Linked DNA regions of Neurospora crassa OR74A. The protein of the gene in region 2 purifies or fractionates together with the protein of the main gene of each other region. This does not show direct contact. Links are inferred from orthologs where the notes say so. Each region holds a gene or a part of one and is shown on either strand. Other genes may lie near its edges.

What was found. Proteins that work in one complex are often made in the same cells at the same time.
Region 1: the proteins of NCU08009 (region 2) and NCU07870 purify together in Saccharomyces cerevisiae (affinity purification with western blotting; 3 studies listed by BioGRID). This does not show direct contact. The link is inferred for Neurospora crassa OR74A from reciprocal best matches to the Saccharomyces cerevisiae genes MCM3 and POL1.

Annotation. Positions count from the first base shown.
Region 1 is NC_026503.1:1,178,589-1,183,387, forward strand, and holds the end of NCU07870 (DNA polymerase alpha catalytic subunit), read right to left. Parts: coding exon 3,683-4,799; intron 3,634-3,682; coding exon 1,879-3,633; 3' UTR 1,478-1,878; downstream 1-1,477. Other genes in the region: NCU07869 (INSIG domain-containing protein), read left to right, coding at 1-985. UniProt on the Saccharomyces cerevisiae protein: Catalytic component of DNA polymerase alpha, which in complex with DNA primase (DNA polymerase alpha:primase) constitutes a replicative polymerase. POL1 has a role in promoting telomere replication during interaction with CDC13.
Region 2 is NC_026504.1:3,901,343-3,907,214, reverse strand, and holds the start of NCU08009 (DNA replication licensing factor mcm3), read left to right. Parts: upstream 1-2,510; 5' UTR 2,511-2,740; coding exon 2,741-2,813; intron 2,814-2,896; coding exon 2,897-5,624; intron 5,625-5,697; coding exon 5,698-5,731; 3' UTR 5,732-5,872. Other genes in the region: NCU16827 (hypothetical protein), read right to left, coding at 1,099-1,416. UniProt on the Saccharomyces cerevisiae protein: Acts as a component of the MCM2-7 complex (MCM complex) which is the putative replicative helicase essential for 'once per cell cycle' DNA replication initiation and elongation in eukaryotic cells.

The sequences.
Region 1 (4,799 bases), on a different chromosome or scaffold from region 2:
AACATCTACCATCCCCCCCCTCAGAGGCGAACCCTCATCATCAGATATCAACAGCGGCAATGGCAACCCAGTAATGGGCCTGCTCTGGTCATTACTCCGGACAACTCTCCTCTTCGCTCTCGGCGCAGGCTACGGCGTGCTCGTGACTCGCTTGCCCAACGGAGATAGCGTCACGGGCGGCTACGGCTGGCGGTACCTCACCTTCTGGGGAGCGGCCGGCGTAGTGTTGGGCAGGCTACTTCCCTGGTTCGATCAAGTATGGGAGGAAGCCTTTGGAAAGAGGACTAGGATGACCAAGAAAGAGAAGGAGAGGCGACGAGCTGCTGCTGCTGCAGAGGCCGCCGCCGCTCTGTTGCAACAAGCTCCTCCATCGTCATCAAGGACTTTTCCAAGGAAGACACCAGTCACCACCACCCTCCCCGTTGAGACGGATTCCAACAGCGGAGGCGTCACCAGCCCGCCCGAAGCGGACTGGCCCCTCGTCGTCCGCAGCATCGGCGCCTTTGTCGGCATCGTCTTCGCCATCCGCCGTCTACCTTGGGCCTCGACCATGCAAGTATCCATCACCCTGGCGCTTGCGAATCCGTTCCTGTGGTACCTGATCGACCGCTCCAAACCCGGGTTCCTTCTCAGTGCCGCCGTGGGCGTTACGGGATCCGCCATCCTGATGGGGTTGGGTAACCCCGATATGATGCCTGCACCCGTGGCTGGAGCTGGGTATCACGACCATCATTTTCTGACGACGAGCGGGCAACCTGCGATGGACGTGCTTAATGGGACTACATCCGGGTTGCCTCGGAGCGCAGCAGCGGCGAGGATGAGCGGTATGGGAGGGGCGAGCAGCGAAAACGCGGCCGTCATTGAGACGGGTATTTGGATGCTCAGTGTGCTGTTTTGCAGTTGCGTGTGCTTTGGAAACATTGGGAGGAGGTTGGCGCTGAATAAGTCGGCTGCTTCCAGGGGGAGATGGGGTGGTGTTAGGTGATTTCGTCATTGATACATCACATCACATCAAGGGCAACAACGGAATGAGTCTCTTGGAAGTCATTTCAATTTATCTTTACTCATGCAGCGGGAATGATTCAACACACATCCATCGAGAATGGTCGGCTATCAACTCTGTACTTTTATTTAGCAGTCCCGTCGGAGGCGTTTATATCAAGGGAGTCTTACAAGGCTATTAAGCATATGGAGATCTTTCTTGCATCTTGTTTATCTTAGCCTGGCCTAGATTCATATTATGTCTCTATCATATTGACCCCCAAACGAGAACCGAGAGGAAAAGGCAGGATAAGAAAAAAAGGCGAAAAAAAGAATACTGAAAAAGTGAAATCCACCTGAGCTTGGTGGGGGTATACATGATGTGCTGACAAGAGTGGGATTCGAACCCACGCCCTTTCGGACCACGGAACTGAGATTTTCACTCGGATTAAGGGTTGACCTTAACGTGGCGCCTTAGACCGCTCGGCCATCTTGCCTATTATTGTATGTTTGGTTTGGGTGTATGGACTATAAGGCTGTAATGTGGTAGTTGTGGATGTGGGTGGGGATTAGGGTTGAGGCGAGAGGGTCGGGGATGTATCCCTGCCCTGGGAGTGGGAGTGAGATATACCAAAGAAAATTGTAGATCGGGCCAACACCATCCTAGACTGGTTACATGACGATATATAAAGGGGTTGACGGGTTGACAATAGTTGCAAACGTAGGGCATCGAAAAAAAAGTTATAATCATTCAAGAAAAGAAGCCCGTAGTTCGGAAACAAGCCCAATCCTTAACGCCGATGTCGACAATGTGAACACTGGAGGGAAACCATCCGCTCAACTTTAGTACCCGTTTTCACACATACCCATCCATCCAGCTTTCCTGTCCATGCCCACTTACTGGGGAACAAACCCCAACTTGGCAAAAAGCGTATCCATCGCCACCCATCTCCGTCCACATTTATCCAAATACTTTTCCACCACGCCCTTGACCGTACCAAACCTAACACGATTATGTTCCGCCATGATGGCGACCCTCTCCTTCTCCTCTGCACTTAGCTTAGCAGCATCCACATCTTCATCATTGTTCTCCTTGGCCTTACTCTTCGCCTTATCCACGTCCCACAGACTAGCAAAGTACACCAGCTGGTTGTAGATGTCCCGTTCCGTGTACTCATACCGCATCCGGCCGCCACACTCGCCGCGCGCCAGACCCTTGGATCCGAGACAGCGGGTGCCATAAACGGAGATCTGGCGCGTGCGGTTGCCGCAGGAGGAGTCGTCGCAGACGAGCCAGCCTTCGTAGTAGCGTGCTGTTTGGGCGCGGACGGCGGCTTCAACTTGGGCGACGACGCTGAGCATGGGGAGGACGTATTGGCATGAGGGGCATTGGATGCCGGAGGGCGTGACGTTGTTGACGGATGATGGGGAAGCGAGGCCCTCGAAGGGGTGCGAGGTTTTGCACTTGCGACAGCGGAGGGAGAGGCGCGCACAGGACTGGAAGCGTAGGGAGTCGGGGATTTGGGACTCGAGAGGGTGGATTTCGAGGTCTTGTGGGCCTGAGGAGTTGTTGTTGGTGTTGGAAGAGTAGCGGCGGACGTCGAGACCGAGGTTTTCTGCGAGTTGGGAGGTCGACGTGCCGACAATGTTGGCGCAGAGACGCTCGACTGGAGGGAATATTTGCTTGCCGATGTACCATTCTACGTCCGGAGACAGGCCAGATTCGGCCTTGAGCACGTCTTGAGGGGTGTAGGCACGCTTGGCGACGGCTTCTGAGGTGGTCTTGCTGTCGCCTGTGATGATGTACGAGATGACGTCGCCCTTACGGATGGTCTTGCCCTTGGCCAACTCGCGAAGGGCGACTTGGACCTGCGGCATCGAGTCGGCATTGGGATAATCCTTGGGCGCCTTACCAAGCTGAGTCGAGATGATGTACTTTTGCACAGGGACGGCACCCTCGCGCATCTTGGCAGATATGTCACGAAGGTACTCGTGGATGCGTTGGACAGACACCTCAGTATCGTCTCCCGAGAGGATCTCGGTGAGGATACGGTTGGAGATCTCCTTGGATAGCCCGCAGTATTCACGACGCTTCATATCGAGACCTTTGACCTCCATTTTCTCAACCCACTTGCCGTTGACCTCGACCATGTTGATGGCAGCATACTTCTTCTTGGCTTGGAGGAGGATGCGCCGGAAGACGTTGTCGATATCAATCTCAAGGAGGCGGTACCGCTCGTTGACGGCCTTCTTGAACTCGTGGCCGACACGCAGGGCTTCAGCAACGTTGTCCTTGTTCGCGTTGATCATGACGGAATCCGTGTCACCGTAGATGACCTGGAGCGAGTTGCTCTCCGCCAATTCTTTGGTGCTCCGCAGAATCTCACGACCCTTATAGGTGGTGAGCACGGCAAGAGGACGGGCGTAGAAGCGCGACTTGGTATAACCAAGACAGCCGTACATGGAGTTGGCAGTCAACTTCAAGGCGAGCTGCTTGATATCCCAGGTGGCGAGCTCTTCAGGTGTGGCATTCTTGTCTTTCATCAGAGACTTGACCTGCCTACGTCGGCTAACGAGTGTGGCAATCAGCTTGGGAAGAATGCCCTGCGCCTGCTCCTTGGGAACCTCGGGAACAGCATCATCGTCCTCGGACTACTTTGCATTAGCTTGTGACGTCAACGGAGGAAGGACCCTGACTTACCAGTGATGTTCGATCAACTGTGGTAAAGCAAATGTTGTACTCTTGGATGATGGAAGGGTAAAGGGAGTTGAAGTCCATGACGAGAACGAACTTGTCATAAAGACCCTTTTCTGGCTCGAAAACCAAACCACCCTTGTATTTGTCCTTCTTCTTTCCTCCTTCTCCGCCTTCCTCTTCTGCGTTTTCCTCCTCGATGCGTTGCCGACCCTTGAAGGTCTGCTTGTCCGGGACGACATATTTGTTGCGGTGGAATTCGTGAAGCAAAATGTACTCGTTCCGCTCAGCACGCGTACCGGTAAGTGTTCTTGCCCACGAGTTACCAGCCAGGTTGGTGAGAACCTTGGTAAGAGGAAGAATTTGAGTCCTGAGTGCAAGAGCCGCGATGAAGTAAGTGTCAGTCTCGGCGTGGGAGATGTAGTCCATCAAACCATGTTTGTCAGCGTTAGCCCACGTCTTCAGGGCGACTTCGTTGTCGATATCCCTCCTACGACTTTCGCCTCCCAGATACAGACTGCACATCTCGGTCAAGGACCAGGTCTGGCACTTGGTCATTACTGATTTACCGGCATCGTTAGCAAGATCGCATAGCAGACGGCCAGACATTATCTGACGTTCGGCAAATACATTGCCACCCATCTTAACAATGGACGAGGGCCACTGAGAGCGCCTGAGTCTGCCCAAACGAGACCATTGATGTGTCTTTTTCTCGTGCAGCCGGTTCAGCAAGATGCTGTAGTCAACACCTTCTAGCTGGTGGCCAAGGATAACGTCTGGATCGACAACATCGATCTGTGCGAGCAAGAAATTCAAGATCTCGTGTTCCTGCTTGAAGAGCTTGAGCACACCTCTGTTTCTTTCCTTGGCAAGCGTCTCGAAGCCGATAGGAAATGCGCTACCGTAAGGTCTAACAGCGGTGAAACTACGAGAAGCAAGCTTGTCTGGGGGAGTGGTGTCACTGAGCGACACATCAAGGTAGACTCTCCCGCTAACCGCGAGAATCTCCTGCTTATTATCCTTAGGGTTGAACGCTGTGCGCATAGCCAGGCTTAACAACGTCAAAGGAGGAGGCTCAATACTCTCGGCGTTATCCGGGACCGACACCATGTTGGGATGTTCT
Region 2 (5,872 bases):
CACGACACTGGCCACTACCCTCACCAAAGCGAAATCGGCCATGAAACCAATGATCACTGAACGGATAGACATGGTCTTGTGGGGTCCAGTGGCTGTTGGAAAATCGACTCCGTCCCCAATTTCGAACACTGCCGTTCTTCACAGCCCTCGTCCTCGTGGGTTGTGCCTTGCATTAACGGTAGTCAGGCAGCGACCTTCCCCTTCGAGGTACCTCAGTTGTGCGACGAGGCCGCTCGCTTGGTGGTGTGACCGCCAGTGCCGATACCACGGCTATGTGCCTAGGCTGTCATTCGTCGGAGGCGTTGTTGAAGCCATCTAAGCTTGCACCCTTGTGTAACAAGGCTACTCGATATCATAGGACACTAGGTGCCGGATCGTGGTTTGTCTTACTTCAGCCTCCTCGTCTAACTTTGCACGATACCAGCATATGCAATTGAAACATTGGGCTCTGTTTTCAAGGCTTGCGGATGCTTTTGCACTCTCAAGATCTTTCGTTCCTTTTCGCAAGGCTCGCGATACCGTCTTGTTCTGTCCTGGTGCATTATCCAGATGCGAACCCGGGCCCCCCAAAAAAAAAAAAAAAAAAAAAAAAAAAAAAAAAAAAAAAAAAAAAAAAAAAAAATTTCTCTGGAACTAGGCATTGTTGCTGGAGTGACCAAGATCTATTTCTTGGCTATTACGAACTTCAAGATCGGGTCGAGAACACTGTTGCGTTTGACTTGGAAATATTTGCTGACTACATAGCAGGAGACATCACGACACATCTATCACCTCGAAAGAGCGAAACCATTGATTCTCGACCATTCTTTGAAGGGTACAGCGGGTGAAAGTCATCCCGTGCGTAGCTCCGGATGGTGACTTGCTCATGCAGACAAGATAAACCGCCGCTTACCGCTCCTTCTCACAATGACTGTTCGGCATGAGACGGGAACCTCAAGCCAGACCTGTTCCGGGCTCAACAGAGGATCAGACGGCTACAAAGGCCGGGAAGCAACCGGAGCCACCCGACAATTCGATTGGAGGACCCGCTGGGCTTGTGTCAGTCCTTCTCACGGCGCCTCACCAAAGTATGAGGCCCATTCCCGTTTACGGCTGCAGTCACAGCACACTACTGTAACGAACCGCGTCATCCCGAAAGACGATCCAGTCTACCGGGAACCGATTACCGTGTCTACATGATGGAGCTGTACGACATGGACCACAACAGCACAGCTCGTTGACGATAAGGGTGGTTTTCGTCCCGCCTTCGAAGAAATCGTACGACCAGAACCGCAGGAGAGAGTTGATGCTGTATGAGGCTAATGGCAAACGGCATAAAGTTGATGACCATATGTAACTTGCCATAGCCATGTCTGCAAGCGGGCAATGACGGCTCAAGTGAACAGTCGGGAAGTCGAAACAACAAACACAACACATTTCACGGTAGGATCCCGATGGGATCCCGATGGTGATGGGCTCTAGTCGGGTACGAAAACCACGGGAAAATCAAGGAACCAAAGGATGTATTCAGCCGTTGCAGTTGTTGAGCGGAACCTCAAACCTGACTGCCGTGAGAAGAACGGATGTGGGGCAGTAATCGCCGGCTAGGAGCAACGTCTATCGGACCGTTGAAAGTTGATGTAGCATGTGAACGACGCAGCAGGGGAGACAATGATCATGGGGAGCTCAGGATGGCACACTCTGGCTCGCGCTTGGAGCCGTCGAGAATCATCACCCGACTGGGGTCGGTTTTGCTCGAGTACTTGGGCGCTTAGGCTCATAAGTAACATTGGTACCAGTGAAGCTGCGAAAGCCCTGCGTTGGCTTATGGGTTAGAGACTCCAAAGAGTGGATCGAGTAACTTTTAGACACTCGTGGCTTCTTTCCATTTTACACTTTGGTAACAATCACTTTGTTTCACCCATGTCGTCCACTTAACAGGACCCAACAGATGTTGTCCTATGGTCATACTTCAACTGCTAACACGAAGCATAGCACAACTACGAAGTATGAACTTGTAATTTAAAGGCTGGGAGGCACACATGTATGTGAGGTACACACGCTAGTGACCAACAACACTACTGAGGTTTCGGCCGCCTTGAGGTTGTTGTTCTTTCTCTTCTCGTTTTCGGGGCAACACAACGTGGGCTTGCTCGCTGAGGATCAAAGGCCATGCGGAGTACCGAGGTCTTGAAGACACTGTCGAGCCAGACATGGACGCTGGTCAAGTTGAAAAGGCCGAGAGGTACAAGTTAGAAGAGATCAAGCATGTGCAAATTGACCTGGAATGTATGTACAATCTTCGTGGAAGTTTTGTTATCGATAGTAAATGTAACCTGGAAACTACACTGAGTGGAAGTCTGGAGGGCCGAGGTCTGGTGTAGGTGGTTAGATACTGGAAATTACACGCTTCTTGATGGCAATTATGGGTAATGACGGTATCAGGTACAGCCCCGCTTGTATCAATTAAGCCCCCTGCCTGAAGCAAGGGGTTTAGCGCGACTCGCGTGTCGTCGACGCGTTTTCCACTTAAAATCGTATCGTTTCGTTTTGTCACTTTTCCATGGCGGCTCCGCAAGGTGAAGCGCATGCGCCAAAACAAAACATCGGCGACTCTTTCATTCTTCTCCAGCAATCTTTTTGGACGACAAGAACGGAGGCCACAACGACTAGCCTTACTCCGCGTCCGAACCCGTGTTACCTTTGTTTCCCGTCTGTGACACTGGCTTGAAGAGTTGTTCTTTGGATTAATACCTTCAAGATGGATTACAACGCCCTCCGCGACGAGGCCGTACGCGACCGTGTGCGCCAGGCCCAGGAGTTCCTCGATCCTCGTACGTCGAAGCTTGAAGCTGATGCTGGCCCTTTGTTCACGACCGAAGCATGGAACGAAACTAATGGCGAACCTTATCTACAGATGACCAGCACCAGCGAAGCTACAGACCAGACATTGTGTTGATGCTCCAGAAGAACCAGAGGAGACTCGTCGTCAATATCGATCATGTCCGCGATCACAGCTCTGAGGTAGCCGAGGGTCTACTTACCGATCCCTTCAACTGGACCCTCGCCTTCAACCATGCGCTCAAGACTATCGTCAGCACCGTCCCCCAGGCCCGCCCCGATCAAATAGACCCCGACGTCTTATACTATTGTGCCTGGGCTGGCAGCTTTGGTCTACACACCTGCAACCCCAGGACACTGTCCTCCCAACACCTCAACAATATGGTCTCGATCGAGGGCATCGTAACAAGGACGTCCCTGATCCGCCCCAAGGTTGTCAAGAGTGTACACTACAGCGAAGCCAAGAAGACATTCCACTACCGCGAGTACCGCGACCAGACCATGACGAACGGCATTGTCACCAACAGCGTCTACCCGCGCGAAGACGAGGAGGGCAACCCGCTCGAGACCGAATACGGCTTTTCGACCTACCGCGATCACCAGACCATTTCCATCCAGGAAATGCCGGAGAGGGCACCTGCTGGTCAGCTGCCCCGAGGCGTCGATGTGATTCTCGACGATGACCTGGTAGACCGCGTCAAGCCTGGCGACCGTATCCAGCTCGTCGGTATTTTCCGGACGTTGGGTAACAGAAACACAAACCACAATAGCGCCCTGTTCAAGACGGTCATTCTGGCCAACAACATCGTCCTGCTGTCCTCCAAGTCGGGTGGTGGTGTGGCTACAGCTACCATTACCGACACCGATATTCGCAATATCAACAAGATTTCCAAGAAGCCAAAAGTTTTCGAGTTGCTTTCACAGTCACTGGCTCCCAGTATCTACGGACATGACTACATCAAGAAGGCTATCCTGCTTATGCTGCTGGGCGGCATGGAGAAGAACCTGGAGAACGGTACACATTTGAGAGGTGACATCAACATCCTGATGGTCGGTGATCCTTCCACCGCCAAGTCGCAGCTCCTTCGTTTCGTCCTCAACACTGCTCCATTGGCTATTGCCACGACTGGTCGTGGTTCTTCCGGTGTTGGTTTGACTGCTGCTGTCACATCCGATAAGGAGACTGGCGAGCGTCGTCTGGAGGCTGGTGCCATGGTTATGGCTGACCGTGGCGTCGTCTGTATTGATGAGTTCGACAAGATGTCAGACATCGATCGTGTTGCCATCCACGAAGTCATGGAACAGCAAACTGTTACCATTGCCAAGGCCGGTATTCACACCTCCCTTAACGCCCGTTGCAGTGTTATCGCCGCGGCCAACCCTATCTTTGGACAGTACGACACCCACAAGGATCCTCACAAGAACATCGCCTTGCCCGACTCCCTCCTGTCGCGTTTCGATCTTCTCTTCGTAGTCACCGACGACATCGAGGACACCCGTGACCGACAGGTATCCGAGCACGTCCTTCGCATGCACCGCTACCGCCAACCCGGCACCGAGGAGGGTGCTCCTGTGCGCGAGAACGCCGGTCAGGCCCTCAACGTCGCCCTCAACGGGCAATCCGAGTCCCAAAAGCCCACCGAGATGTGGGAGAAGTACGACGCCATGCTGCATGCCGGAATCAAGGTGCCCAGCGGCCGCGGGTCTGCCAACAAGAAGCCCGAGATCCTCAGTATCCCCTTCATGAAGAAGTATATTCAATACGCCAAAACGCGCATCAAGCCGGTACTGACGCAGGAGGCTTCCGACCGCATTGCTGACATCTACGTGGGCCTGCGCAACGACGACATGGAGGGCAACCAGCGCAAGACGTCGCCCATGACGGTCCGTACGCTCGAGACGCTCATCCGTCTGGCCACCGCCCACGCCAAGGCACGCCTGTCCAACCGCGTCGAGGAGCGTGACGCCGCCGCTGCCGAGTCCATCCTCCGCTTTGCCCTTTTCAAGGAGGTGGTCCAGGACGAGTCGCGCAAGAAGCGCAGAAAGACCCGACCCGCCGAGGGCGAGGATGGCATGTCCTCCGACTCTGACGACTCTGATGACGATGACGACGACGTGGCAACTCAAACCACCACAGCCCGCTCCAGCGCTGCCAGAGCTTCTCGCGCTTCCCGCGCTTCCCAACGCGCCAGCCGACGCACTCCCGCCAATGGCGCTTCCTCCTCCTCCGCAGCAAACGCCAACGGCACTCCCAGAGAGGAAGAAGAAACCCAAGGAGCAGAAGAAGAGGAAGAAGACATCTACGACGCCACCCCGCGCCGCTCAACAAGATCTGCTCGCACAACCGGCGACTCACAACCATCCTTCGCCTCTTCCCTTCCCGCCTCGCAACTTCGCTCCACTCGCTCCCAACGATCATCTCGTCGCACCGCTCAGAACCAAGACGACGAAGAAGAACTCGCCTCCGGAGCCGCCAACCTCAACGTCGACGAAGACGAAGACGAAGAAATGGACGTTGACGGCGAAGCCGCCCCAGAAAACCAAGAAGAGGAAGAGGAGGAAGAAGAGGAAGAAGAAGATGAGGAGCCAGCACCAATAAGCGAGCACCGTCTTGACGTTTTCCGTCGGGCGCTCGGTCCGTTGTTGAACTCGGGACTTTTCGAGGACGACGCTGCGGATGTGGATGAGCTGATCAAGGCTGTTAATGAGAAGATTCCCGGAGGCAGGAGAGGCGGTGAACAAAAGTTTGAGAAGGAGGAGGCGCTGCAGGCGTTGAGGGAGATGACGGAACGGAATCAGTTGATGTGAGTTACCCTTCGCTTGATATTGTGAGGTGTGATGATGTCGAGGAATGATGCTAACGCTGTTTGATGATAGGTATACCGATGGTCAGCTAGTGTACAAAATCTAGTCTGGTGGACTGGAAAGGTTAAAAAACCGAATTGATGCTGTGTCTAGGAAACAGGTAGAGATGATTTTAGGTGGGTCATAGATATGGATGAGAAAAGTACTACGGCGGAAATGGTCTAGACAGAGAGACATGCCATAAACA